Linked DNA regions of Astyanax mexicanus. The protein of the gene in region 2 purifies or fractionates together with the protein of the main gene of each other region. This does not show direct contact. Links are inferred from orthologs where the notes say so. Each region holds a gene or a part of one and is shown on either strand. Other genes may lie near its edges.

Region 1 (7,097 bases), on a different chromosome or scaffold from region 2:
CCACACCTGTTCCACTATAATTACAGTAAGATAAGAAAAGGCGAAAGCCTCTCGACACAAAAGAATACTACTGAAATACTGTATCAAAAAACAAAGCAGACAATAATATGAGTATACTCACAGCCATGAAACTAGCTAGGGTACTGTCAATATCTGCAGGCCGATTGTGCTTGCCCTTTGTTGTGGAAATGGTTTCAGAAGCATCTTCCTCATCACTGTCCTCGTAGGCACCCAGCAAGGACAAGCCCTCTGCAAAACAAACCTAATGAACTTCACTTCATACTAACACAATGTCTACTGTGATAAAGGAAACATGCACCATATTATTTTAATTATGAATATTTAAATCCCAGTAAGTTTTCACAGTATTAGACTTTAATAGATGCTTCACTTACGGGTTGCCTTTACAGCAGGAGGCTTCATTTCTATGTTTACTTCTCTATGGCTGTCAGCGTTACCCTCTGGCTCCTCTGCATTAAAGAAAACAAATTATCATCATCAATGATGAATATTTATAACAGGATTTATATTTTTTTGCAAAAATAATGGACTTTTGGCACATCTAATACTGGCATTCATCAAAAATACCGAAACTTATTTGTAAATCCATTAACTCTTTAGGTGTATGATAAAGTGTTTCTCAATAAAACTTATAATATAATAAACCACCATTCTTAAACAAGAAACAATTTTGCATGATAAACACACTGTCTTAACAGCATTAATTGTATGAGGTAAGGATTACAACAAGGATACATTTCTTAAGGTGCACCACTTATATACCACTACTGGATAAAGGCGCTGCACAACCAGCCACAGTTAGACCCCAATGTTAGAAGCAAATGTACCAATTTATTCCGCAACTTTTAAACAAAGTTTTAACACAAGACAGAAAGTTCTCCTGAAATAAGCATAGGCATGTCTGAAAATATAAGGGGGGAAAAATAAAACATGCATTTTTAAAAATAGATTTTTCCTTCAATTTCAGAATCCAGTCTATTGATCGAATTAATCATTCCATCAGTTTAGAGAAGACACTTTAGTTAAGATAACAATTTATAACATTGAGGAAACTAATTATTACAAATTAATAACCTTGTTTTTTTTTTTTCTTGGTCATTCACACTTAATCTTTCAGGGATCTCAAAGAAACCTTATTTTATATTTTCCCCTTAATGTTTGCTTACGTAAACTGACATAAAATAACATTGTGTCAAATCCTGTAGATTGCCTAGATATTTACTGCCTCTCTCTAGCAAACTATTTTTACATATATCTGAATAATAAATATTTTTATAATTTCAATATATATATATATATATATATATATATATATATATATATATATATATATATATATATATATATATATACAGGCAGACAGACATGTGTATATATATACATATACACAGCTCTGAAAAGAAAATAAGAAAACATTGTTGTTTTATTCTATAAACTACGGACAAGATTTCATCCAAAATTTCAAATAAAAATAGAGCATTTATTTGCAGAAAATGAGAAATGGCTGAAATAACAAAAAAGATGCAGAGCTTTCAGACCTAAAGTAATGCAAAGAAAACATTTATATTATATTAGATTATATTATATTGTATTATAACGTCTTTAGAGTTCAGAAATCCATATTTGGTGGAATAACCCTGGTTTTAATCACAGTTTTTATGCATCTTGGCATGTTCTTATCCACCAGGCTTACACACTGCTTTTGGGTAAATTTAGGCCACTCCTGGTGCAAAATTTCAAGCAGATCAGCTTGGCTTGATGGCCTGTGATCATCAATCTTCCTCTTGATTATATTCCAGAGTGTTTTTTCAATTTGGTAAAAACAAAGAAACCCGTCATTTTAAGTGGTCTTTTATTTTGTCCAAAGCTGTAACTTATATACATAATGAGACATTTTATGTTATTCATACGACTGTATCCTGTAGTTTTTCAATATCCTTTAGACTGTAATGGTTACGCTAGGCTAGATTTAAATAAATGCATTTTGGGAAATAAATTTAGCCAGCTTTGTGATTTGCTGAAAACCGGATACATTTAAAACCGTCTTTTGTTAGAAACCAGAATCGCTTTCATGCTAACATTAGCCAGCTAATGCTAACTACCTAGCTACCACACAGTTATTCACACAGGTTTTAAGAAGTCGTTTACTGGAAATATTAGGAGTATTTCATGTTTAAGCAGATAAATTTGTTTGTGTCTTATTGTAGCAACTGTAAATTAGTTAACTAACCCTACTTGTTGGTAAGCTGCTTTGACAATCATACGAGAACTAACCTACCATAATGTTAGTAACTGGTATTTAGCCTAGCCTAGCTGTTAGCTAGCTAAAGCTGTCTGTTTAGGGTAAATAAACGTAGGTTACCTATCCTTTTCACTGTAAATGTAGAATATTTTAGTGGTATTAGCTATATAACCTAGCTAATCAAGGTCCTGTCTCGATTATCCAGTTATTTTAGATACCCAAAGCTACTTACTTGCCAAATTATTCTCCGTTCAAAGCCAACGCTGTTAGCTGCGTCTCTCTGTGTAGTCTGGGCAGGGGTGGTTAACCCAGGTCCAGAAGGTAAAAATCCATCCCAGGCTTTGTACCAGTTGCCTCGTACAAACTGCTAAACTGCAGCAAAGTTGCTTAGGCAGTTGGCACTAAACCCTGGGATGGATTTCTACTTTCCGGACCTGGGTTACCCACCTCCGAGTCTGGGTGAGGCCGCATCGCACACAACTCTTTAAATCCAGCTTACTCAGAAACATAGCCAACACGAGGCTGCGTTTACTGGGCCTGTGGAAACGATTCGTATAAATAAATAATGTTTTCTCACCTTCCGACCCAGAACCTAACCCTTCGTCTCTCCCTGCGCCGAGTCCACTGCGAGGTCCGGGCGGAGAAAGCTGTAGAATGGTCCGGCGGCCCGTCCCCGTCCGGGTTTTCTTTCCCATAACTGACAGTGATAATGGAGCCCAGCTAGCGACAAAATGATCGTCAGGCAGGCTGTGTGAAGCCAGCGGCGCTCCACTGACACACGCTTTATATTAAAAGACCCAACCCCAACGTACAGTTTATTTTCTGAAGCCCTTTAATTTTAATAAAGAAGATATAACACACCAATCTATTTTGTTTACTTTAATTGCACCCACCTAACTAACTTGCACGATTACATTTCTCCTAAATGCTCTAGTTAGCCTGCATGCTAACCGCCACAAGACTGGTGAGACACTTCTTAGCTAATTCCTCTTTTCCAAATCGCTTAGTTTTTAGTCTACATAGACAAAATATGGGTACATGTGATTTATTTTATTACTTATTCATCTGTAATTCATTTAATAATACATATTTTTTGCGTGTCGGTGTCGGTGAAAATGTTTTCTTTACTACAAAATAAAAGACCCCTTCTTTCAAAAAAATTGTAACATGTCGTGTGTGTGTGTTCCAGTTGTGATCAGTGCTTCTTTTTTTAAATACATGACACGATGAAACATGTCATCTACAGTGCTTTAAAAATGTTTATACATGTTTACATATATGATGTACTATATATATATATATATATATATATATATATATATATATATATATATATATATATATATATATATACTGTACTTAATATACTATACTGTGATTTGCTTAATTTAAACGAATGTGTTTGTTAAAGTTAAAGTTTGTTTTATATAAAAACATAAATCTGTGAATGGGCAGAAGCCTGTGAGTGGGCGGAAACCTGGGGCTGGGCAGAAGCCTGTGCCAGGGAAAAAAGCCTGTAAATGGGCAAATAAGTGTCCAAAAGCCTGTGAATGGGCAGAATCCTGTACTTAGGAAGAAACCGGTACCTTAGGGAGAAACCTGTGCTTCAGCAGAAGCCTGTGAATGGACAGAAGCCTGGGAATGGGCAGAAGCCTGTGCCAGAGCAAAAACTTGTGAAAGGGCAGAAACCCTAGGGCTTCTAGGGAGAAACCTGTACTTCAGCAGAAGCCTGTAAATGAGCAGAAGCCTAGGTATGGGAAGAAGCCTGTGAAAGGGCAGAAGCCTGGGGCTGGGCAGAAGCCTGTGTCTGAGCAAAAACGTGAAAAGACAGAAATCTGTGGCTGTGCCAGAAGCCTTTGAATTGACAGAAGCCTGGGGCTCAACAGAAGGCTGTGAATGGACACAAGCCTGGGACAGGGCAGAAGCCTGTGGCTGGGCAGAAATTGATGAAAGGGCAGAAACCTGGGAAGAAGCATATGCCCAAGCTAAAGCCTATGAATGGGCAGAAACCTGTGAATGGGCAGCAGCCCAGGGCTGGAAAGAAGACTGTGAATGAGCAGAAGAGTATGAATGGGCAGAAGTCTATGCCTGGGCAGAAGCCTGTGTATGGACAAAAGCTTCTGCATGCCACAGCTATTTACCTGCATCCTTGCACTGTTAATGTGATTATTTATATTTGACAACCTGTTGCATTGTTACTCCTTTTGCACAGTAATGTTCTTTGATATTTATTCTACTGCAGATGTTATTTTTTATTCTGTATATTACTGTGTACTGTTACACTGTTACAGTTCAAACCTCCAGAAGGACCAACAAGACCACACACGGCAACCAGCATAACCAGCGTGACCAAAATCAAAAGCAACATTCACAGCATAGGGTATGTTTATGTCAGAATAATCATCTTTTTAACCATAAAGAATACCCGCTTAAACCATCTAACACCCAGCTACCAGCAAACGCTGGCCCTGAGCTAGAATTTTCAAAAGAAATGTACTCTTCAACATATTATTAATATGGTATGGATTCTGACATTTTAAATGGATAAAAAATCTACACGTACAATTCATCATTCACATTATTAAAATAAATTACATACCACAGAGAGACCAATATGAGTGTATGTGTGACCTGTGCAGAGAACCACAGTCTGCAAAACACTTTGCTCTACCACAGACCAGGAGCAGCAAGAATGATGATGAAAGTCTATTAACGGTCTTACATCAAAATGAAGACCCAAATCTGTCACATGAAACATGCATTATTAAGAAGATGAGGTACATTGTAGAAATGTAACAATCCATTATTGTAATAAATTATCTGGATCAAGAGAATTACAGAGATTTCAGATGAAGGTCTTGGTGATTATTTGTTCCTAAGAATAGAAAGGTAAAGACAGTGTAAGGAAGAGAAACTCAACAACATATTTAGTATTTTTACTTTATTTAATACAGTTAAATCTGCAGTTGTCTCTTGGTGTCATTGTGCTTTTTTATGCTTCCAGACAAAATTTAACAACATTTTAAAATACCAACACTTAAGTGTTACTGTTCAGTGTCTTGCTACATGTAAATTATACTGTGGGATAGTATAAATAAGTATATATTCCACAATTTGTAGTGTTCATATCACTCTGTCTCTGGAAGCTGACATCTCACCTCTAGGGACGCCTCAGTGACTTTTCCTTCAGCTTCATCATCTTCCTCTTCAGAGCAGTCAGCCCAGCGTCCAACCCGTCTCACACCCTCCCCTACTAAGGGTGCATTAACGCAAGGGTTGTGGTCATAAATGACCAGCTTCAGTCCTCTTAGTTGAGTGAGTGCTGGAAATTGCCGAATGCGGTTTCTATCTACATCAATCACTTCCAAATAATGCATTTCTAGAAGCACTGGCGGAAATTCATTCAGCAAGTTTCCTGCCAGCCAAATACTCCGCAGCTCATCCAACCTGACCAACTCACCAGGCAAACTACGAAACTGATTGTATCCCAGATGTAGGGTTTTCAGGTTGGGAAGTTTACACACAACACTTGGAAATGTTATAAAGCAGTTGGTCTCCAACCACAGTGTCTTTAGTTCGGAAAGCTTGGCCAGCTCTTTTGGCAGTTTGTACAGTCTGTTATTCCCGAGGTAGAGGATATTGAGCTGCCGAAGGCTGCAAACAACTGATGGCAGCTCCTCAAAGCAGTTGAAGTCCAGCGCTAGAAGTTGTAGTTTTTGTAGGTTGTGGAGCTCAGGTGGCAGACTGCTCAGGTGGTTATCACTAAGGTAAAGTTTAACAAGTTCTCTAAAGGCACAAGCTCTAATGGGGAAGCGCCGCAGCTGACGACTGCTCAGATCCACAGTACAGTCATGGGGCATCTCCTTCAAGTCCCCCACCAAATACTGCTGACACCGGTCTGATGGAATGAAGGCCACAGCTCCACGAACAACATTTCCCATTATTCCAGTCCAATTTCATGCCCCCTTCATGAGGAGAACAGATATAGAAGTAGGAGAGCTCATTAATAGAAATCTGAAATAGATAATCTTTTGTCATCCATTAGTAATAACTTAATTCAGTTGAGCCAATAACCATAATTAACACAAAAGCTTGGATCTGTGTGTTTCACACAAGCATTGCTCTAAGTCTAAATAAAACACTTGTTCTATTATCGATTTATTGACTGCAAATGGCCTTCGGAACTATCAAGGCACAATGTAAATAAAATTAACTTTTATTAGCATTGCTAATGTCTATTACAAATATTATAAACATCATTACTTACTAAGCAGCTGAAGAGAATCTTTCCTTCATTTAATTCCATTCTATCCCATCCCATTTATTGTTTTTTTTTTTACTCCACACTGGGCTCAGACCTCTGCCTTGCTCAAAGCTTTGCCTGGCTGACTCCTGGAAGTGCCAAAGATGATATCCAGCTTGCCCTCCCTCATTTATGTTGCATGACTTCCCAGGCTCTGGAAGGCGGAGCTGGCCAGTGCCAGTGATAAGAAGTGTCCTGTGATTAAGGAATGTGGAGACAATCTAAGCCCCTCCCATATGTGTGTGCTATCTAGCCCCTAACCCGCAAAATACAAGGATAACTTAAGTGGAGCAACTCAACAATCCTATATCAAAATGCCAGAACAGCCCACAGTGTTTCTTGCATGCCACAACAGCTCAGAGTGTTCAGACTCAGTCAGCCACAACAGTTAATTGTGGTCAGGTTATATATATAAGAGGACAAAAGTGGAATGACAGCAATTTAGAACCAGTATATAAGTTAAATAAATAAATAATGATGTGACATCACACAGGCAATGTCCAAAGGCTACGGTAATCATGCTTTAGAGTC
Region 2 (8,014 bases):
ATCTCTCTCTGTCTCTCTCTCTCTCACAGACACACACACACACTCAGTGCTTCCCTCCACACCTGCTGGGGTCACAGAATTTTTTTTTCAGAAGAAAACTCTTCACACATTATCAACCTGTACCGACGATAAGCTGCCAGAGCAAATTATTCAAATGAGACATTTTAGTGGTACGCTGCATTAGGCAGCAAAAAAACCCTGCAAGTCTTAAAAACACACAACTGCCACAGGCAATCTGCTCACTACAGCAGTAGAAATTAAATACAACTGTTTTCAAGGATTTACACTTGGGGATGGGGCAGTGAATGTTCTATAATGCCTGGCCCATACTGCAGTTTTTTTTATCCTGACAGATGTCAAAAACGTGAGTGATCGCACACGTGAAATCATTTTTTACAGATTTTTCAGTCTTTAATTTTTGTTAGCTAGTGTTTGACCAGCCAACACCTCAGTTTTTTTTTTAATCTCACGGGAGTTTCTCATAAACTGTTATAATGTGAGAGTAAACATGGTGGATGACAGAAAAACATCACTTTGTTGAATAAATGTTTTCAACTCAGAAATAGTAATGTATACTGTTTGCTGTAAAAAAAATCTCTTTATCAAGCATAAAGTTAACACATTTTAAATCCACCCTATTCAAAAAAAAATATATGAGCATGTGTTATATTTAGGCGGCCCAGTAGAGTTAGGCTCTGTTTGGTTTAAATCCTGGGTCATGCTGCTTGGCATCAGCAGCCAGAGTCCGAGTCACCACAATTGGCTATGCTCTCTTCCCATATCACACCCAAACTGATGTATCAGAGAAGGTATGAGCGAGTCTTCACCTTCCTAGGTTTGGAGGCATTACTAGTGAAAGGGGGCGTACTAATAAGGAAATGTGGTAATTGACCTTCCAAATAGAGGTGAAAATGGAATAAAATTTGAAATAATTCGAAAAAAATAAATGATCAATAAACGATCAGGACAAACCTTACTGCTCTGGGACAAGATTAGAGGACTAAAGATTGGATTATATACTTCACATTCTACAGAATAATCTGGAAACTGTATCGAAATCGGGAGATTTTTGAGACTGTCGGGAAGAACAAATCAGCCTCAAAATTGATCTGACCATCCTGTAGTGTTGGCCAGGCATAAGATAACATTTGGGAAGTCCACAGTAATATTATACCAAAAAAAAAAAAAAAAAAGAACATGCTTAGTCCAGAAAATTAAGCTTTCAGATCAATTTAGGCTTCTTAACATGCTCTTCTATCTTGTCATCTGTTGCTGGTGTCACAACACAATAAAATATTGTTACATTGACTAGCTCTATTTAATACAGTACCTAACACGAATCACGATCACAAATCTGAAATTTAAAAGATATACTCTTATAAACTATAAAAAAGTGAAATTTCTCTATTTAATACTTCAGGTTATCTTTAAATAAAGAGTCCACAGTTAAACCTGGGTTTGTTATGAAATTCTCTGACTTTATCTCTACTGGAATGTCTTGAGCATCTTGAGCTAAACACGCTCATTAAGTCAGCAGCTGTCCTCTAAAGAGCATTTTCTTGCCGCGCTGTGATGTCGAGCCTGATTCACAGACTGGCGTTGATGGTGAGGGCCAGGCACGCTGATGAGAGCCTGTGATAAGAATTAAGCTGTCAGTCTTTTGGTCAGTCTCTCCTCAGTGAGTGGGATCCAAGCAGAATCATAAAGTCATCGAGCCATTCAAAGACTCTCTTTCACTCTCTCATTTTCTCTATCTATTTCCCTGTCTGTCTGTCTGTCCATCTGTTTATCTATATATCATATATGTATGCAGTTATATTTGTTACATTTACTGGGTCACCTGCTTAATCATTGTTTTAATAAACTGTTGATCCTGCTTTTGTTGGAGTAACTATCTCTGTTTTCCAGTGGAAGACTGTGAGTGTTCGATTACATTCACCACCCCACCTTTTCCCTAAATCCCAACTCATCCCAAAAATATTGGTTGGTGCACCATCATTCCATAGAACACCATTTCACTGTGTGAAAGCTCAATAGTGGGAGGCTTTATTCCCCTCCAGCCCCCAACAGGTATTACACATGGTGGCAAATGGCTCATGTTTATCTGCTCCATAGTAAAGGTGGGATACAATATTGTGATATATCATATAATATATTGTAAGTCGCTTTGGACAAAAGCGTCTGCCAAATATAATGTAATGTAATGTAACTATATATTTTTATTAAAGCACAGGTGCTCTAAACTCCCAAAGATTCGCCCCAATTTAACTTATTAAAGTTACTGCTTCATTACTCCATTAATTTATTATTATTATAAGTATTTTAAAGAAATTTCTTGTGATATATCCACAGAAATTTGATATCATTGTTATTGTGGGCCACATATCCTGGTAATATTGTATTATGAGAAGCCCTGTGATTCCCACACCTACTCCACTGTAACCAAATAATCAATGTTGAATTCATCTGTCATGTTATGGCTGATTAGTGTCTCTCCCACGATCTGTTTTTGTCTGTATGTCTGTCTCTGTCTGTCTCTCTAGTCATTTGTCTGTCCTTCGATCTATCTGTATTTCTCTGTGTCTGTGTGCATCTTTCTCTCTATGTGTCTGTCTGTCTCTTTCTCTATTTTGCTCTCTTTTGTGCTTCTTTCTCTCTCTTTGTCTATCTCTCCCAATTTATTTGTCTGTAAGTCTGTCATTATCCTAATGTCTGTCCTTTTATCACTCTCCCTTTCACTCAATTTGTCTGTGTGTCTTTTCCCCTCTCTCTGTTTGTGTCTCTCTCACTGTTTATCTGTCTGTCTCTCCGTGTCTGTTTCTCTCTCACTTTTACATGGTCCAAGTCTATTTCTTTCTCTTTTCTCCTTTTTCTCTACCTCTTTATGTCTATCTGTCTTTTTTGGCTTGTTCTGTGTGTGTCTCTCTCTCTCTCTCTCTTACTATGTCTCTCTTCCTCTTTATCTCTTTCTGTCTCATTTCTGTCTGTCTGTCACTCTTTCACTATGTCTCTTTCTCTGCATATGTATTTCTGTTAATCTCTCTTTACTTATGTGATTCTATGTTAATAAAATCTTTTTTATTGTCTGGCTGTATAAATTGTATAAATGTACTTGAAAAACAATGTTTCTTCTAAATGCTGGAGACAAACACACTTTCAATTGGTGAACAGGAAATGAGTATTATATCTGTTAACAACAACAACAACAGCAACAATTATTAATTGATTCATTGTGGTGAAGTAGATTATTTCAGTGGTTAGTATAAACAGTGCGTTATTACATGCTATTCTAAACCAGGAGGAAGCAAATACTGGAGAAAGTACAAAAACGAATACATATGAACACATTTAACATAATTCATTGGTTTTTTTTTTTTTTTTTTAAGAAGAACAGTCACAGTTTAACAGCACTGTATATTTCTCTTCACCCTCACACATGCGGTCAGTGCTAAACCAGAGATAACCCGAGCGAGTTAATAATATAAAACATTTCACAGACAGTAACTAACTTCCCAGCAGCTCCAGTGAAGGCGCGTCTCTTACCATTTTCTTCTCTTGGGTTTGGGATTCATTCAGTCCGTGCAGAGAGCGCTGGGTGGTGTGGTGTCGGCTGTGGAGCGCAGGTGAGAGAGTGAAGAGAGAGAGAGATGTGTGGTTCAGGTGAGGAGGAATGCGGCTCCAGCGGGCAGCGGCGGAGTGGGGAGCTCGCGCGCTCCTGGAGCCGCACTGTTCCGTGGGGACGAGCCGGGAGCGTTTTCTCTGCAACAGCGCTCTCTAGTGTGCGCGCGCCACCAGCGCTGCTGCACTTCACCACTGAACACACCACAAGAAGTAAGGAAACTTGTGTTTGGTATATTATTTTAAAAATAAATCTTATACCCTGGGAAAGCCTGCTAATTTCTCTTTTAAAAGGAGCCAATTTTGTAGGGAGCATGAATTTCAGAGCTGAGTATGTGGATTGCATAAATCTTCTCCAACATTGCCAAATAGCTTGTTCTGCCTGTAATATTAATTCTTGTTTTGAGCTTCTGGTACCCCCAGGTGCTGCCTGTGAGATGTCAGTGGTCAGTCAGTAAGTGTCTGCTTCATGAATCTGCATCATCCCACATTTGAATAATTTGGATCTGAATAGGGTCCATACGACAGGGCAACTTCTGTTCCGTAAAATCAAGGTGCGGCTTTATTTGGAATTGAGCCCTCGTACCACTGAAGGCCAAGATTCCTATAACGGGGGTGTCAGAGACAGGCAATGGCAGAGAGGATTTGGCTATTTTTTTCATGGGTGCAACCCATTTACTCAGCTTTGCTGCTTATCCCCCAAATGCCATTTAGAGGCTTCTGAATAGACTTACAACCCCTGACGTAGAGTTTGGCTTATTATGTAACCATCCCTGCATATATGTAGGCAACAATATATGTATATTCATTTTGCTTTGCATGCTAATCGTATATTTCAACATTGAAGGTGCTACACTAGCATTTTTTATATTCATTAGCATTCTTAGTTAAACTCAGTAACTCATAAAGTAGCACATTACAATATACTAACTCTAGCCTGAAATATTATAATATAGTAAAATACATATCTATGTGTATTTCAAACTACATCATTATTACTGTCACCTTCCCAAAATTACAGCTAAGTCCCAGCATTAAAAAAATAATAAAATGTATCTATGACTTAGTCACTCAAATATATATATATATATATATATATATATATATATATATATATATATATATATATATATATATATATATATATATTCTTTTTTTTTCATTGCACTGAATATCAAAAGCTTAATCTAGTGGAAGACACGTCCTACTCTATTCTGTTGTGATTAATTTTATTATATATTTTTTGTTTTATAATACCGACTTTAATTAATTTAATAAGACTCTTTTCGGATGTTTTCTGTGTGAATGGCTAGCCTAGCCTCGCCTTGTGTCGGGTGTTGATGACGATACTGTAATGGCCGCTCTCACGGTGTGTTGCGGGGTCTATGCGTTACTCCGGTAAAGAGAGAATCACTGATCGGCGCTTTCTTTCTTTATTCCCCGGTTAGATTTCCTCACGGAGGGGGAGAGGCCGGGTAGCCCCACATCGAGCCCCAGTCTCCGCGGCGCTGTGTTGTGAAAGGTGACCGACTGTGTTTTAAGCGCGTGTTTGCTGAGAGTTCTCGTTATTGTTGTTGGCCGCGGCGAGTCGGTGCGAGTCAGGGACGCCGCCGGGCAGCAGTGAGACGAAACGGGACGAGCCCTGCGGCCAGTCGCGGTTATTCTGCAGGGCGGGTGTAGTTTCGGGGGTTGGTGTCGGTCCGGGTCCATGAGCTCGGCTGTAGCGGGGTTTGGGCCGCTCTCTGTCGGGCCTGCTGCTCCTGCTGCTGCGCGGCCACCGGCGGAGCGACGCCTCCTCCTCATTGGCAAATAGGCGAAGCTAAGCTACGCTAGCCAGCTGTAGTCGGCGAGCTAGAAAATTGTCCTTTCGCTCGACCATCTCATGAGTCTCTTGCCGTTATTCCGAGCAGGTAACCTCATTCCAAATTACTTACTAAACTACAATTACATTAACTCTGTATGTTACGAAGTGTGCACGGTGTGAAGCAAGGCCGTTACGGGTGCGGAGACCTCGCTAGCTAACCTAGCTTAGCTAGCCAGTATGCTAAGCTAACAGGCTGTTAAACGGTAACGTTAACATAGCTAACTACTTAACCTAGCTAACGTTAGCTAGTAGGCTATCGTCATTAGCATTAGCATCGCCTTGGGTTGTGTTTATCCCTCCTCGGTGTTAGATTAGCTAACAGCTAACTAACTAGCTAAACAATTAACCGAACTAGTTAACCCAACTATTAGGGCTACACATTTAGCTATATTTTTTTGACAACAAGCACAGTAAACGATATTAAATTAATATAAAACAATGTAAGGGTAGTTAACCTAGCTACATATGACTAATAGTAACGTATATACAGTACAGAAATAATAACATTAATAGTGGATGTAGTTAGAGGTTACGTAACCCTAGTTGCAAGATTATGTGCTAATGCATAGCTAGCTTACATAGTTACATAAATACGTACTCACATATTAACCGTTTTATTAGTATTTTGTTTTTTAGATGACTGTTTAATAGGTTATAGTGTTCATCTTTATTTCTCTATTTTTTATTTATTTATATAAAACCTGAACGTTACAAGTGTAAAATTCAGTATATATGCATGTGTATATTCCCAAACATTTACTTGTTAGGTAGTTTACACTAATAGTCTAAATAAGTCTGCAAGGGTATTTTATTTTTGTATTTTTCGTATTCAGAACAATGTAGGACTAATATAGCTACCTAAGCTAACTGCTTTTCTGTATGTTTAAAACTGTGAAGCATAAAGTATCAATGGTAAAAACGCAATTCTGAGACAAAGTTCCCTGGGGTTAATACATTTTTAACTAAGCATTTTCTTAACAGTCACTTCACTTAATTTAATTAATTGTTTCTTATTAAAGGGAAAGGATAGATTGTTTCACTAAAGGAGTGGTCAAGAAAACAGATTCTATATTTTTATTTTTTAAGGAGGAAACAAAAAAAACTAATAAAACAAAGAGAATAGTTGTTAAACTGAAGGATTTATTAAATGAATAGAGCAAATTGTGGAACTAAGGGGAATGCTTTACTAAATTGACAGAACAATTTATTTTATTGCCAAAAAAAAAATAAGGGAAACATTTGTGTTCTTAAATATTTAGTTTTAACCTTGATCATTTTTTCTGGTCCTGTGGAAACCTTTTCAATCAGAATGTGCTCAGTATTGGAATTTAGGCCTGTTAAGGCCTGTTTTTGAAGACTAAGCCACACTTAGATTTGGTCAGAGTTACCAACCGCTGTCAAGGTTGGTGTTGTACCAGTCCTTGGCTAACAGTTCTGAAAGGCTTCTGAAAACCAAAACTGTGTTAAAGGATATTTACAACCCCTTACGTAGAATTTAGCTTAATATGTATCCAGAAAACCATCCTGGCATGTACTTAAGCAGCAATATATGTTCATATTTTGCTTTGCATGCTAATCATGTAAATATGAATGTTTTTGATTACAGATTGAGTGCTGATGGACACCCCTGAGAGCCCCACACAGTCTCCACAGTCTCCAGAGGAGGAGGAGAAAGGTCTGTCAGACAGTGAGCTGCTGGAATCTCCAGAGTCCCCTACTGAGGGGAACAATGAAGTGTCTGACAGTGAGTTACTAAACGATGAGGAAGGAGGAGGAGGAGGGGGAGAGTCAGACATTGATGATGAAGACAAGGTTGATTTGGGTGGGAGAGCTCCAGGAGAAATATCTGACCAAGACGATGACAAGGTAGACGGGATCGCGGGGAAAGATGTACACCAGCAGGAGAAGTCAGGAACCATTCTGAAAGGTGGGCAACACATGAGCAGATCTCCAGAGCGGGAAGAAGAAGAGGAGATCTTGGAAACCCCTAGGTCACCAGACCCTGAATCACCAGAGCCCGTACATCAACAACCCTTCACCCTTGCTGAAGAAGAGCGTGGGGAAGCCAGCCAAGAAGAAGAAGAGGAGGGAGAGAAGACCACTGGCTTAGGCATGAGTCGTCCAGAGTTGGAGGAGGAGGATGAAGAGGAAAGGACACAAAGGAGGGTAATGGCAGTCAGTGATCTAAAAGATGAAAACTCTTCTGTCTCCAGAGAGCTGGATGAGCATGAGCTGGACTATGATGAAGAAGTGCCTGAGGAACCAAATATTGGTGTTCCAGAGGAGGATGACATGGAGAAGGGTCCTGGTGCTGAGGACGGTGAAGCGAATGAGGAGGAAAAAGACAACAAAGAGGAGGGGAAGAGGAAAAGAAGTGAAAGGAACCCTATCCTCCCCCCAGACCAGGGCAACTCTGATCTTAAGAAATCTGAAGAGACAAAAGGCCAAGAAAGAGGCAGGAGGGATTCCTTTCGTGATAAAAAGAAAGATGAAGATGATGGCGAGATTGATGAAGGAGAAATTGATGTAAGT
Region 3 (7,263 bases), on a different chromosome or scaffold from region 2:
ACTGCAGCAACCCTAGATCATAGCACCGCCCCCCCAGACTTTTTGGACCACATGACCTTCTCCAATTGCTCCAGAATCCATAATAAAAGCTGTTTTTCCAGCTAGCTTCACTGATGAGGTTTTTTTAAGGCTACACAGCTGTCAGGTCCAAATCCCTTGAGGACCCTTTTCCAGACTGATAGATCTCAATTGCATTCTTTCTCATTTGTTCCTGAATTTCTTTTGATATTGGCATGATGTGTTCACTTTTGCCAGGCAGGTCCTATTTAAGTAATTTCTTGATTGAGAACAGGTGTGGCAGTAATCAGGCATGGGTGTGGCTAGAGAAATTGAACCACAGTTCAGTTTTAACTGGGAGGGGCACACTTTATCACACAGGGCCATGTAGTTTTGATGTTTTTCCTCCTGTAGTAAAAAACTTTATTCAAAAACTTGAAAATTACAAGCTGAATTACCTACTGTAATTTTATTCCCGTCTGGATGCTCTGAGAGTTTCGTCACCGTTTAATAAAATAGCTTTTTGTCCTCTGCCATGCACCATAATTACACTTTGGGCGTTTACACGAAGATCCACGTAAACACAACAGCGAGTGGAAATGGAGGGGCTACTGAACGCAATGCCACTCACTGGTCCTCCTGCTTTTCAATTGCAGTCCAGATGCAAGAGTTTTATCACTGAGTAGAAGTCCCCCTGAGAAACTAATCCCACCTGGATAGGGCTTTTGACTAATGTTTACATTTGTTTGATGATCTGAAACATTTAAGAGTCACAAACATAAGAGCTTTCAATGTCTATATCGACAAATGTAAATAAGTTTGTGAAAAATGTTGGATATTGGCACCACATTATAATTTCACTATTGATGCATCCCTCACAATATAAAATAAGATTATTCCATACACTATATTTAACCTAAAAACGTGTATTAGTACACCCCTACTATAGGGACATTAAGTCTGTTCCACATATGAAATATATAAAAACAAAACATGCAGTATGCATTGAGAATATTATTATCTTGTTGCTACTGTATTAACAGTGCTCGTGCGAGGCATCATGGATAGCATCCCATCGCGCCATGCAAGGCTCGCAGTGTGAGACACATGGAGGTGTCTTGCATTAGAAAAGCACGCTGGCTTTTCCAGCATATTCTTCGGCTCGCGGCTACAGCCCGGGAATCACCAAACGGCTGGCGGTGACGTCGCGCCAATCGCGTGGCGCCATGAAGCCGCTGTCACTCAACCCAGCCAACCGCTCAGCATTAGTCCCACCGCTGCACCGCGCTCCGCTCAGCGACCACCGCTTAAAACACCGGCTAATATCTCCTCTAAACGCCCACGTTTCTTACACGGAGTTCTCACACACACTAAACACACCAACATCTCCCCTCTACCCTGAACCCAGCGCTAGCAGCACGCCCACGCCCCCAAAAGCATCAGCTCCACATCTGTCACATCATCCAGCCACATCTCCCTCAATCCAGCCCACAACACACACACACCATCTTCATAGCTAGCTCATAATCCACCCCCTTTCACTCACACACACACACACATACAAGATTAAAGTCTGACTGTTCACAATTGAATGCTAGATATACATAATAGAGTTTTTACTCTAGTATCTGGTATCAATTACATTTTGTATATTTGAAATGGCAATTCAAGATATCTGCATTTACAGCCTTACTAGTAAAAGAAGGACAATTTTGATGACTAAAATGTTGTTTTATTTCAGATGATCAGAAATAATGAATAGCAGATATGTTGAATTGGAGCTTCTATACAACTGAAGGGCAATGGAATCCAAAGTGTCTCAAATAGGTTTTTATTCTAAGCTAATATAAACAGCGTTATATTAATTTGATAAAATGTTTAGGCATGCAATAATAGTAGATATCTGTAATAACGTAGCTCTGGTTAAACAAATTAATGTTAAAATATGTAACACATATATTACACTGTGTATGTGCGCGCGCGCGTACATGTGTGTGCTCTTACATAACTAAATTGCCATAAATGTGACTAGTAAGCTAGTCCATGCAAACTCGAGCACAGCGAGGAAGCGCGAGGCGACGCTTTAGCTCGGGCCGTTGCCATTAGCAACTCGCGACTCGCTGGGCAGATTGCACAGTGAAACAGCGCTGTATTCAATCAACATTTATCGTTAGCTAATGTTAGCAACGATTTGAACCCCGCTCATTCAGCCTGTTTCAGCCCTCAAAAGCTGCATATCTGTGACTATGTGTGTGTGTGTGTGTGTGTATGTGTTATATGGTTGGTGAGAACTAGCTATATAGCGTTACGGTCAGTCATCAGTACCGTCCACACGCCGCCCCTCGCCGGGGCTGCTGTCAACACTAGCTAGCTAACCTCCCCCCGTAACGGTCGCGTGTTGTGCTCACGCGCTGAGAGCCCGCATCAGTAACAGCAGCGAGCTAACGTTACCTCAATGCTACCAGCCCATAGAAGCAACCTATACACTCTATATACACACAGATACAAACTCCGAGAGCTGCCCCTACGACCCACGCCCCTGCTTACTTACCTCCGGTGGTGAGCCGCCTTGTCTTTCTTCCCCTTCGGCCTCCTCTTCCGAGCCTGGATAGCCATCACTGGAGGAGAGCAAGCAGGAGACGGAGGGCAGGCAGCACCGGGGGGAGGGACGCCAGAAAGAGAACAGAGGGAAAACAGAGGGGCTCGATGAGACAGAGAGCTAGGTTAGCTGACCGTGGAAAGAAAGCATCGTACATTAACACACAACAACAATATCCAAAAAAAGGTCACGCAACGCGACAGCAGGGCTGGACGCGAGGTTTTCAGAAGCCCCGCCGAAACGAGCAGATGTCTGCGTGAATTTAAATAGTCTATAGTGTTTAGTGTACCCTTTCTGGAGCTCATGGTGTTTATCCTCCTCGCCTCAGCGCCAGCAGCGGCAGCCCGGTTCTCTCTCCAGCGCGGCTGGAGGATGGAGGCGCGCTCCCGCTGTCTAGGAGAGTGGGAGGAGCCGCGCGTGCACGCGCATCCTCATCCATCCTTCACTGAGAAGCTACACAGGATGGATTCACTCCCGCACGAGCCTGTAAAGCACATTTAAAACACAAGGAACATCTAAATATACACGTACTGACAAAAAAATAATATATATATTCTCCGAGAAGAACTGTTAGAATTATATTAAACTTCCTATTTGTGAATGTATGATATGGGATGATATATGTAGGTGATCAAAACATATTTTAGGTAATTCTGCACATGTAGCCACAGGATGTACTGAATATATGGTTAAGCTATTAGTATCACTACTAGGGGTGAACAACTGTGTGCAATAGCTTGCCAACAAAACAACCACCCTACTTCTCTCAGTCAAGTGAGGTGTTCCCTCTCCAAGTCTGTCAACTGGGCAAAGTATCTTTGAATGCATTGTATAGGCATGCAGTCAACAATCTCTCACGAAGAGGTGCACTTCCCCAAAAAAGCCACTCACACAGCCTTTCAATGTGGTAGTGAGAAAAGCAATTTTACACCCTTCTGGCAAGACCCAGTGTGGAATCAGAGCACACCTATTAATTTATATATATGCCTAAAACAGGACTGCAGGCCGAGTTTTGTGGTAATAATAATAATCTGCAGTGCACTATGGGTGACCAACTGTCCTGTGCGAAGGCTCTCCAGATTACCACACCAGCAGTTGGGGCAGTGTGTCGTTCCAGCATACACAAACCGGACCACTATCAAATCCCAAACAGAACCTGGATTATTCACTGAAGATGAATACGGTTCCAGCTTGTAAGAATTTCAGGTTTGTAGTTCATGACACAACTGCAAACAAAAGGTGAGGCAATCGTTAACACCTTCTCTCAGTCCAGTAAGGTGTTTTCTCTCAATGTCTGTCAACTGCGCAAAGTTTCATTGAGTGCATCATATAGGCATGGTTAGCAGTCACAAAGAGGAACACTTCCTAAAAAAAGCAATTTTACACCCTCTTCTGGCAGGACCCAGTGTAATCAGAGCACACCTATTAATTTACATATCTGCCTAAGACACAACTGCAGGCCGAGTTTTGTGGTAATAATATTTGTTGTCATGTGTGAGAATACATATAGTCTATGCAGACATCGGAGGGGCTAAAAAAAATCCGGATAGCAGTTAACATTCACACACAGTCCCTTTTTATCCACCCATCTGTTCATATATTCGACCTTCGGTCCTTACATCTGCCTAATCCACCCCACAGAGTTTAATCAACATGGGACTGTGCACATTTTTTTACTAAATCATTCTAACTGTATAATATGCATAACTGCGCAATGCATACATAATAATTTGATGATAATACACAAAACGCTTTATAAACAATGCTTGCTACAAATGATGGACTTCTATACACATATGTAAAAAAGGTTATTTCGATAATTCACACGCAAACAACACAGGCCTGTGTCCCTGGTCCTGCTTTAAGAAGGGGATTTGAATAATGAACAACATGCATTGGCTCAGAGCCACAGCACCATCTGCTGGACAATATTTTAGCCAGATTTTAACATTAACATCCAAGAGCGTTGGACGTTTTAACCCATTCATGTACACACGGAATTGTGTAGGCTCCTCCAATGTATTGTTTTCTCTTTGCTTGTGGCGTTTGGGTGAGATTACCTCTTTTACATCTATACTTTTCATAATGTTGAAGAATAAAACGTTTATTTTTGGGCCCCTTTTTATTTTCATTAAAATCTAAATCAAACATTTTATGCAAAAACATTACAAATTATGTTTTTATTACAGATATAATTATACAGATAGATCACTAAAAATTATGTAACGTTTCTAGGTGCTAAAGTGATGCTGGGAAAATGTAATTTACACAAAACCGGAATAACCTCTAAGGGTTATTTGAAACAGTTTAGCACCCATTTAAAATTGCTGCATGATTGCCTGCTTAACTTCCTTTATACCCAAAAAGCTAACAATACGCAGAAGATTGTGAGTGTTATAGAATTATATTTTTATGTGTTTATACAGTACCAGTCTAAAGTCTGTACATACCTTCTCATTCATTGTTTTTCTTTATTTATATATTTATTTTCTACATTAAAGACATTAAACAATTAAGGGTCATATGGGGTCATATAAGGGTCATTTGGTTTACAAATTAATCTCACGTGTTCCTGTATAGCTTGAATATAGTCTTCAATATTACATTTACAATGTAAAAAAAACATAAAAAGAAAGAAAAGACATGAAAATGAAAAGAGGTGTGTCCCAACTTTTAACTGGCACTGTACGTTATATTGTATAAAAGAGTATATTTTGTAAACCGATACTCTTTTTGTTTGATAAAATGTGTGATTTTTGTGATTACCGAATAAATAAAAAGGGAAAAACAAGCGCGCAGGCGGAGCTTAACCCAGTAAACACTTCCGGAGGAGAGCGGGCACGTGGACACGTGGTTTGATGTTTAGAGCAGCACGGCGGCTATCAGGACTGGGCTGGAGAAGGTGGGCGCTATACTATTATCAGATTCACTCACATACACCTCAGTTATCTAGCTGGGTTAGCTATATTAAATTATTATCCGGTAAACGTATATTAATAGCATAGCATTCACAGCGGCACAGTGCGGATACAGTCAGTTAACCCTAACATAACTCACAGCGGAAAATCAGAAACGGACTAGCCGCTCAGTTTAAGAATGTGCCGGACTCCCTCCAGCACTGCTTGATAGTTATTTTTTATTAAATAGTGGCTAGCAATTACCATTTACCTGTATTCTTCTGATTAGCATAACAGTTGTTTTTTTCCACAGTGGAAGTAACAGAGTGTGGAGATTGTTCTGCTAACATACTCCGGTAACCTCACCACATTAATGATTGACGGCATTAAATTCCCACCCCTTTAACCCCTTAACAGGCCAAGCTTTTTTGTCAATTGTCTGCCTAAAATTAAGCCACTAAATCTTAAGGGTTTCTATTCAAGCATTACATAAAAAGCTTGTGTTTGATAAGGAACATTACTAAATATTATAATTGTAATTGTAATAGAAAATATATAAAAATAATAATAAGTAAATCTGCTAATGTCAAAATAATTGGCTCTTTCCTGAACTTCATTTTAAAATCAATATTTGTTTGTGTAGTTTTTACATTTATTTTCAATCATGCAAAATTTGTGTTGATTCCTGTTACTGATATGGAATTATTAAGTGGAGTAGAGAGAAAATAGACAGCTTCTCCAAGTGTACTGTTGGAGATTTTAGAAGAAAAAAGGGTTTTGTATCATCTACACCTGTAGCCTGTATACGAGACAAGAAATTTTAATGGGTAAAAAAGGGAAGGAAAATACTACACTGCTTTAAAAAACCAACATGGTCTGTTTAAGCTGATTAAGAATGTTAACCCTCCATGGCATAACCAATTTCTGGGTATTGTACAATACCATACTGTACCTTATTTACTTACTGGTAATTTGTTGGACATCCATTTGTGAAATAGGTGCTTAATATTTGTTAACCCCCCAAAAATGTATAGGGACTGTCAAGCCTTAAAGTAATTCGGTTAAAACTTAGCCTTAGGGTCTGGCAGGATGAATCAGCCAGCTAGTGCTCACTGTGCTACACAGCTTTATTATATATGTACATGTATGTCTCTTTTCTATTCTACAGAACTGCTCTCTTTTCATCCTGCAAGAAAGTGTTTCTGTTATCTCTCAGCAAGGCTTAAATCATCTGAACACAACAAAGAGATTTCTCTCCTAGTTTTTCTCGTTTACCTCCACTCAGTAAGTAACTCAGTGTAGTTAGATCTCACACTGTGGAATCAACAGCCTGCAGTATAACTCTGCCTTTCCTTATTTCTCTTCCTTTTTTTACTATGATATCAGCTTTGTGCCAATGGAGGACAAGGAGCCCTTGGCAGAGCCAGTTCATGTTGGAGAGAAGCGGACATGCCCAGAAGAGGATTCAGAGCACATTGCTAAAAGAGTCAAAGTTCAGGATGAAGCAAATGGCAGCCATGCCACTAAGCGGACAGAAGATGATAAAGAGGAGCTGGAAGGGGAGGAAGAAGAGGAGGCTCTGGAAGAATGTGATGGAGAAGGAGAGAGCTTTGCTGACATGATGAAGTATGGTCTCAGTGAAGTGGATGTGGGCATTTGCAAGTTTGTCAGTGAGCATAATGGCTTCTCTGGAATCCTGAAAGAGAGGTTAGTGGGTCAGTCTGCCTGGAAAGGTACACATAATGTCAAAGTTCCACACATTTGCCATAT
Region 4 (7,500 bases), on a different chromosome or scaffold from region 2:
AATACATATGTTTATTTAATATGAGATAAAATATTCCCTTATTAGTACAACAGCAGGCAAATTTTCAATATTACAGCAACACAGAGGACAGGACAAAAGTATTAGGAAATATGCATTTGTATTAATATATAAAAAATACTGGAATCTTTTTAAAAACAAAAATCTAGAGAATATAAATCTATAGACACTATATGATTGGAGGAAACATGGTTCTCCGGTATGTGTGTTGTAAGAAGTTACTAGTGATATTCCAGTTAACAGTGAATAAATTAACAGTAAATAATAGGGGATGGCATGATGGCTGCAAGTAATTAAATTTGCCTGCATTAAATTATAAGTGGTGTCTCTTTTTTTATAGAATCTTTTTTTTTGTATTGCTAGATAATTATATAAAACAAACAAAGAGTCAAACATTATTTTTAAACAGGCAAATCTGATTTGACCAGCCCTAACAGACAATCTCATTTGCAGGACTACCTTAAAATCTTCCACTTGCATTATTTTGAAAATGGGGTGTGACAGCATCGCCTTGATGTAAAGCTTTGTGGCCGTTTTGGTTCCACCAACTGTTCCATTAATGCCCTCAGTGGCCACACGCACCTGCAGGAGGAGCACAAGTTCCAGAGTAGTGTAACAGCACACTGTGACAATTCATGCACATGTGAAGATTCTCATCAGGAGGAGAGCACTGCGTTTACCTTGCCAGTGAGATGAAGTCTTGAACACAGCTCAGACTGCCAAGAACAAATCAGCTTGGGATCTCGTATTTGGCAGTAGCTGTAATACAGGAGGACTTCACCTGGACCTCTGGAAGAGGGCAACAAAACTAATATCAGCACTAGTTAAAATATGGGTTTTAAACAAGTGTCATCAGAGAGGGTGCCCTGCTTATCTAGGATTACAATGTTAACAGTAGATCCATTGAGATCTCTCAGGTACCAGTGTTTTGGATTAATTCACAGATCTTGCACGAATCCAGATCCAGACACAAATAAACAGTAATATTTTGACTAATCGATTCATATCTTTCTACTCTAATATTATTAGAATTGGCAATACTTTTGTTACATATACAGCTCTGGAAAAATTCTGCTTCTGAATCAGTTTCAATGTATAGGTATATGTTTGAGTAAAATGAACATTATTATTTAGACATCATTTCTCCCAAATTCCAAATAAAAATATTGTCATTTAGAGCATGTATTTACAGATCTCAAATAATGCAAATAAAACAAGTTCATATTCATAAAAATCAATATTTGGTGGATTAACCCTGTTTTTTAATCACAGTTTTTATGCATCTTGGCATATTCTCCTTCACCAGTTTTACACACTGCTTTTGGATAACTACAAACATTCAAGCAGTTCAGTTTGGTTTGATGGCTTGTGATCATCCATCTCCCTCTTGATTATATACCCCATACATTGCCAATGTTGGAAAAATTTGTAAGAAAAAAAACCAAAAAATTTTAATGGTCAGTAAAAAAAGAATTCTTTTCCAGTTTATTTCTGAGCATTTTTATGTGTACATTCATCATGAAATGCTAATATAAAGAATAACTCAAGAAAAACTCTTTTTTTTTGCCTAACAGTAAAATAATCATATACTAAAGGAATCTCTTACTTGCTGAGCTCCTCCTCAGAAAGATGGCTTGTGCTGGGTATCCAGGAGGCTGGATCGTCTGATTGGCTCTCATTTGGGTCTTCTTGCTTTTGAAAAGCCTCCTCGCTCTGGCTCAGCATCTGATCCAGGGCCGCAGTGGTGAGCTGCTCGATCTCTTCAGCGTGGAGGTTGGAAACATGCTTGTGGACTGAGGACGGGTCTGAAAAGGTCTCGTCACAGCACTGCCAAACCGGTGAGGTATCAGTAGGAGACGATGAGACCCTCTTAGACGCCACAAATGTTGCAAAAGTCTGAAAGTCACAGAAGACTATTGTGAGTGCAAACAACAATAAACATAGAGCAGTTTCTTAATGTAAACTTTACAAACGTAAGTTAATTCTTATTATAGTTAAACAAATATTACATTGTTCATGTATTAAGTTTGAAAATGTCAATATTTGAGATGGCAACTGAACCTCTTTACTCTCTTTGCATTTATTATGCTTCTTCCATACAAATATTAATTCTAAATAATTTCTGCATAAAAAATATGCAATGGGGGTGGGCGATATGGCCCTAAAATAATATCACAATATTTCATGGTATTTTTGTGATAACGATACCCTTGGCAATATGAAAAAACACTGAATTAAAAATATATATTTCAACATATATTTCAAACGTTTTCAACATTTATTGTACTGAAGTTTTTTTTTTTTTCAGGTCAACACTGAACCAATGCTATGTTTGTTTGTAAACAACTATATTGTAAAGAAAATTATATATACTGTGTATAATTATATAGCTTGCACCATGTTCTTGCAGTGTAAAAAATTACATAATAATAATAATAATAATAATAATAATAATAATGATTTTGTTTAAGGGGGAGGACCTTTTACTTAAAAACATTACAAACAAACTGATGCCTATGAGGCAAAACATAAGGACTAACGTTTATTTAACGTTATTTACCATCAGTGAACCAAAATATAAACAACATATGTATTAGGATATATACATTAAAAAATAATAAACTAAAAATTATTTACATCAGTTGCAGCAGAGAAGCCTTTACATGTAGACAGTGCAGATATGTTTAATAAATGTCAAATCTATGTATATGTTTTAAAATTGTGCACTGTTTTAGTGTTATGCAACCTGTGAACTGTGTAGAAAAGTGTAGACTAAATAAATATATAAAAACTATAAATTAGGAGTTTAAAAAGTGTCACATTTAGCTAACTATTACAATGTAACCTAAGCTAATAAACTTACCCTCTTCTTTATGTAGGAGTAGCACTTTCGAGTTGTTGAAATCTCGCACTTCTCATGCTTTAGAGTCCCGGCAATAAGAGTCTCCACATCCAAATGAATAAGAACAGACTCTGCCAGATCTTCACTGTCCATATTAATCTGAGTATCAGCTGATATATCTCTACACGAGGTAATACTGCAGACTACTGATCATCACACTCTAAACACACTACAGCTCCCTAAATCAACCACAGGAGCCATACAGGGGGTTATAATATAAATCCCAGGCTGTTCAGACCACAGTAAATCCTGATTAAATGATCAGAAATAAATCAGTTACTAGTTTAAGAGCTAAAACAGATAAACAAGGGTTATTATAAAACTCCTCTCTCCGCCATGCAGTTCTGCTGCTGCTGCTACTGGCGTGTCGGCAGAGCCAGAGCTGCTTTACGGAGAGACTGATCACTTCATATCACCCCCGAAATATCAGTAAACCCCTGCATGCCGCTAGAGGGAGCCAGCGAGGGAGTCCTCAATGAATAAGGGTGAATGGAGCTAAATGGCTAAAAACTCAAATTTAATTAGTAACAAACTACTCGTCTAGGATATTCCTTTATTTTAAAAGTAGAGAAAGTCTTTCACTAAAAAAATAGGAAAATATAAATAAGAAAAAATCTATCTGTATATCAGTGGATACTGTAGGCAGAACATGTTTACGAGGTCCAGACTTGAGTGCTCTGTCCAAAAAGTGACTTAAATAGAAGTTGAAGTGTTCTTTAAGCTTGTACTAAGTGGAAGTACTAAAGTTTTCAACATTTTTTGTGGAAGTACTAAAGTTTTCAACATTTTGTGTACTTAAGTGTTGCAATAATAAATAAATAAACTAAATTTTCTGTAGCTATTGCAGAAACCTGTGGAAAATTCTCAGTGTGAAAGGCAGAACAATACAGGACTCAATTTGTTCTGTGTTTCCATAAATCTCCAGTACACATGTCTGTCACACACACATCAACACAAAATCTTTATCTCAATTTTAATTGACCCTTTCATCCAGCTTCGTCTCTGTGTGTTGAGAAGTCTGACTGCCTAGTGGATGAAGCTGTTCCAGAATCTGGTTGTTGAGGCTCGGATGCTCCAGTATCTTCTGCCCCCACCTATCCCTTACAAGGATTTTCTTTTGTACATCTTTGCTTTGATGTCGTCCGGTAGAAGATACCAGAGCATCAAATGCTGTGGTTTTCCTTGGTCTGCTGGTTTGCCATCTGTTACTTAGTACACCAGTGATGACTTTCTTATACAGGAATACACCTTACAGTCAAGTTTCAATATTTTAGCTTACAAAAAATTGGGTGGGTTAAGATAAAAGGTTCTATCTTTTAAATTGTGTATCAGGTCCAAATGTAAATACCTGTTATAAAAGCTGAGATGTTGGTCTTTTGCTTCATAATCTGTTAATGTCAAACTCAAATGGTTTCAGTCTACAGCAGAAATAAAATGATTTGCCTCAGTGTTCCATTAATTTTGATGGGCACTATACGAGTAACACGTTCTTAAGTGGGTATTCTCCTCTGTGTAGACTCTCTGGTTGAGCTCCTGCCGCTCCGGAACAGTATCTAAACAGTCCCGCCCTCTTTTAGTTTTCCACGGTGGTGGCGGCTCGCTGCTGTAGCTTCTGCAAATTTTTAGCTTCGGGGCTCCAAAAAATAGGAGAATAAACCTGTAAAAATAACACAGGAGGACTTCAAACATCTGTAGACCGATAACCGAGCGCTGAAAGATGTCTAGGAGAAGGCACAGCGACGAGAACGACGGTGAGTGCGGAGTTGTGTGACGCCGTTTGCTCGGCTAGGCTGGAGTTTGTCTTATTTAGTTAGCTAACTAGCTACCTTTCAAATTTTCCGGTCCACCTTAAATAGAGCCCCAGTTGAGGTTCAGGAGTCGGGGGCTGGCTTTAGGTGTTTCGTTGCGATCGTTGCGCTGTTTAAGGTGGAATGGAGAGTTAGCTTAGCTACCTAGCTTCATGAGTTGCTGTTAGCTAGCTATTTTAGCGGTTTAGGTAGATACTCTAGCTAGGGCTAGGTTAGCTAGCTAACTAATACCCTTCTTTAAACAATGGCGCAGGGTAGTTTAACAGAGTATAGCGATTTCTGCAGGTATTATTTGGCTATTTTTTGGATATATTTTGCGTTTTCTTGGTTTAATTACTAAACTTTTAATCATTTGTACTTAAAACATGGTGTTCGAGTTGAAGCTAACGGAATAGCTAACTAGCAAGCTTAGCTAAGCTAGGTTAACGTTAGCTAGCTAATGCTAACACAGGCATGCTGTTTCACTGCCATTTCTCCTCAGGAGGCTCAGAGCTAATTTTCCAACAAAAAAGATAATTATTTAGCTGTTACCAGTATGTATACTCCACATCGTGCTCCATTTAGCTTTTTAAGTGTTTACCTAAAGCTCGTATGTCTTTGTGTAACGGTGCTATATCGTCCTCCCTCCTTTTTTTAATGAGACTAGACTCAGTGTTTATTATTCGCACAGTGAACACATTAATACATTCTATTAAACGAATGCTCGATTATTTTAAATAAAATATCTTTCGCAATAAAAACTATTTAATACTAACTTATAGCTACAGTACCAGTCAAAGGTTTATACACGCCTTCTTTTTCAGTGTTTTTCTTTATTTCTTTAACTGTTAACACCTTGACAGGCCAACATTTTTGTCATTTTGTTATTTTTGCCTGATATTACACTCCTAAATCTTAAGAATTTCTATACAAGCATTATATGAAAAGGTTTCCCGTTTGATTATTAACGTTTCTACAAATTCTAATTATACTTATAATATATATATTTTTAAATGTAAGTAAACCTGCAATTTTAACAATATAATGAATAACAATCTTGAAATTGCAACTTTCCTAAACTTCATTTTAAAACCAGTATTTCCTGAATACAGTATTTCCTGAATGTTCTCTACACCTTTCGTTTCGTTACAATTGTTTTTTTTTTTCTGTGTTCAAACCTGCAAAATTTGGATTTGATCCTGTTGCTGATCTAAAATGATTGCGTTGAGGAGAGTGTGAACAGGCAGCTTCTCCTAGTAACCTGTAGGAGTCTTCAAAGCCCTCAACGTTGTCTGAATGTGAATAATCCTATTTTACTGCAGAGAAAAGGGCTTTTGTCATCTACATTTTGTAGCCTTTATACGTTCCAAGGCCTGTAAAGGGGTTAATTAATTTTCTACAGTACATATAAATATTAAAGACATGGGAACAATTAAAGAACACATATATAGAACTCTGAATTAAACAAAACAAATAAAGTGTTTGTCCTCCACAATTCCTTAATCTAAACCCAACTAAGATGGTGATTTGGGATGAGCTGGAGTTTCCCAGTGTGAAGGAAAAGCAACAACTATTGTAAGAAACTTCCTGAGAAAATTCCAATAGTGTGCAGATCTGTTCTAAAAGCTACATAAATAAAAATATTTTATACACATGTCCCCGTATAGCTATAATGTAATATAATTAATGACTTTTTGTTAAAACACTGTTTTTATGTATGGTCTTAATACTTAAAATGTAATTTTTCTCTTGAATGATTGCACTATTGTTATCATTTTACCGGTGGCATTAGATGATCATAAAATTACAATTTTGCTACAATTTCTGAAAAGTGGTAATCATGAGAGGTCTTATTGAGCAAACTATTTGTTAAATTGAGGAAAGGGGGCCTGTTTCTAAATATTGTTATAATACTCAGTGACAGTACATTCAATTGCAGTGAGTAAGCTAAAAGGTACTTCAAAATGTGCATTGTGGTCTCTCTTCACAGTGAATGCATATGGTGGTTTTAGTGAGGATTCTGTCCTGTTCACTTCTTGCCAGCTCTCTTGGGTTCTAATTCTTTCCTTTGGTTTAATGATTAGTACATGCATTCATGAGCAGATGTAGTCTGAATTTGCAGTTATGGTGCCTCCATGTTCTCAGTAGTTCTTGTATCATCATCATTAACAAAAGTTTAACAACCACAAAAAGCTTCTGGGACCTACCAGACCACCCTGTTTTAAGAATAAATATGTGGCTTTGTAGGAATGGTATCAGAAGCACAATAATGACATTACAATATTTACAACATCACAATGTCTTCCCATTCAGGAGCACAACTACTTTCAGTTTATATCAAACAAATCTTGAGGACAGCTGCTGTTTAATATGTTAAGTTAGAGTGTATTTTGTTAGCAGATGCTCCTATCTAGGACACTGTAAAAATAGTACAAGCCAAACTACTGTAGAGTACCTGTGTGTACCTAGTGATGACCACTGACGTGGTTCTTATTTGCTACCTGTAGTATCAGTTTCTTGAATTTGTTTGATGTGGAACAAGAGTGTGTGTGAATTACCATGTTAAAATCAGTGTGTTTCTCTCTTGCAATACAGGAGGTCAGCCTCACAAAAGGAGGAGGACATCTGAGCCAATTGAAATCGAGGACCGACTAGAATCACTGATATGCAGAGTTGGAGAAAAGGTAAGACCACAGAACATTTTAATGCTCTCCTTAAAGCTGAGGATGAAATTGTCAATAAATTATAATTGTTAGCTTTTTGTCTTATCGTTACTAGAATGCTGCTCTAATA

Evidence for each region.
Region 1: the proteins of zc3h18 (region 2) and fnbp4 purify together in Homo sapiens (affinity purification with mass spectrometry; 3 studies listed by BioGRID and IntAct, counting the BioPlex papers as one, with this or other methods). This does not show direct contact. The link is inferred for Astyanax mexicanus from reciprocal best matches to the Homo sapiens genes ZC3H18 and FNBP4.
Region 3: the proteins of zc3h18 (region 2) and srpk2 purify together in Homo sapiens (affinity purification with mass spectrometry; 3 studies listed by BioGRID and IntAct, with this or other methods). This does not show direct contact. The link is inferred for Astyanax mexicanus from reciprocal best matches to the Homo sapiens genes ZC3H18 and SRPK2.
Region 4: the proteins of zc3h18 (region 2) and nuclear cap-binding protein subunit 1 purify together in Homo sapiens (co-immunoprecipitation; 3 studies listed by BioGRID and IntAct, with this or other methods). This does not show direct contact. The link is inferred for Astyanax mexicanus from reciprocal best matches to the Homo sapiens genes ZC3H18 and NCBP1.

The regions. Positions count from the first base shown.
Region 1 is NC_064409.1:54,396,725-54,403,821, reverse strand, and holds the start of fnbp4 (formin-binding protein 4), read right to left. Parts: upstream 3,017-7,097; 5' UTR 2,959-3,016; coding exon 2,841-2,958; intron 2,625-2,840; exon of another isoform or gene 2,496-2,624; intron 471-2,495; coding exon 396-470; intron 250-395; coding exon 122-249; intron 1-121. Other genes in the region: lrrc10 (leucine-rich repeat-containing protein 10), read right to left, coding at 5,392-6,204.
Region 2 is NC_064416.1:22,225,500-22,233,513, reverse strand, and holds the start of zc3h18 (zinc finger CCCH domain-containing protein 18), read left to right. Parts: upstream 1-5,010; 5' UTR 5,011-5,140; intron 5,141-5,397; exon of another isoform or gene 5,398-5,528; intron 5,529-7,088; 5' UTR 7,089-7,099; coding exon 7,100-8,008; intron 8,009-8,014.
Region 3 is NC_064409.1:52,788,246-52,795,508, forward strand, and holds the start of srpk2 (SRSF protein kinase 2), read right to left. Parts: upstream 3,024-7,263; 5' UTR 2,902-3,023; coding exon 2,886-2,901; intron 2,616-2,885; coding exon 2,549-2,615; intron 1-2,548. Other genes in the region: pus7 (pseudouridylate synthase 7 homolog), read left to right, coding at 6,890-7,200. UniProt on the Homo sapiens protein: Serine/arginine-rich protein-specific kinase which specifically phosphorylates its substrates at serine residues located in regions rich in arginine/serine dipeptides, known as RS domains and is involved in the phosphorylation of SR splicing factors and the regulation of splicing.
Region 4 is NC_064409.1:65,453,153-65,460,652, reverse strand, and holds the start of nuclear cap-binding protein subunit 1, read left to right. Parts: upstream 1-4,481; 5' UTR 4,482-4,637; coding exon 4,638-4,671; intron 4,672-7,302; coding exon 7,303-7,391; intron 7,392-7,500. Other genes in the region: thiosulfate sulfurtransferase/rhodanese-like domain-containing protein 2, read right to left, coding at 478-600, 699-807, 1,625-1,914, 2,882-3,013. UniProt on the Homo sapiens protein: Component of the cap-binding complex (CBC), which binds cotranscriptionally to the 5'-cap of pre-mRNAs and is involved in various processes such as pre-mRNA splicing, translation regulation, nonsense-mediated mRNA decay, RNA-mediated gene silencing (RNAi) by microRNAs (miRNAs) and mRNA export.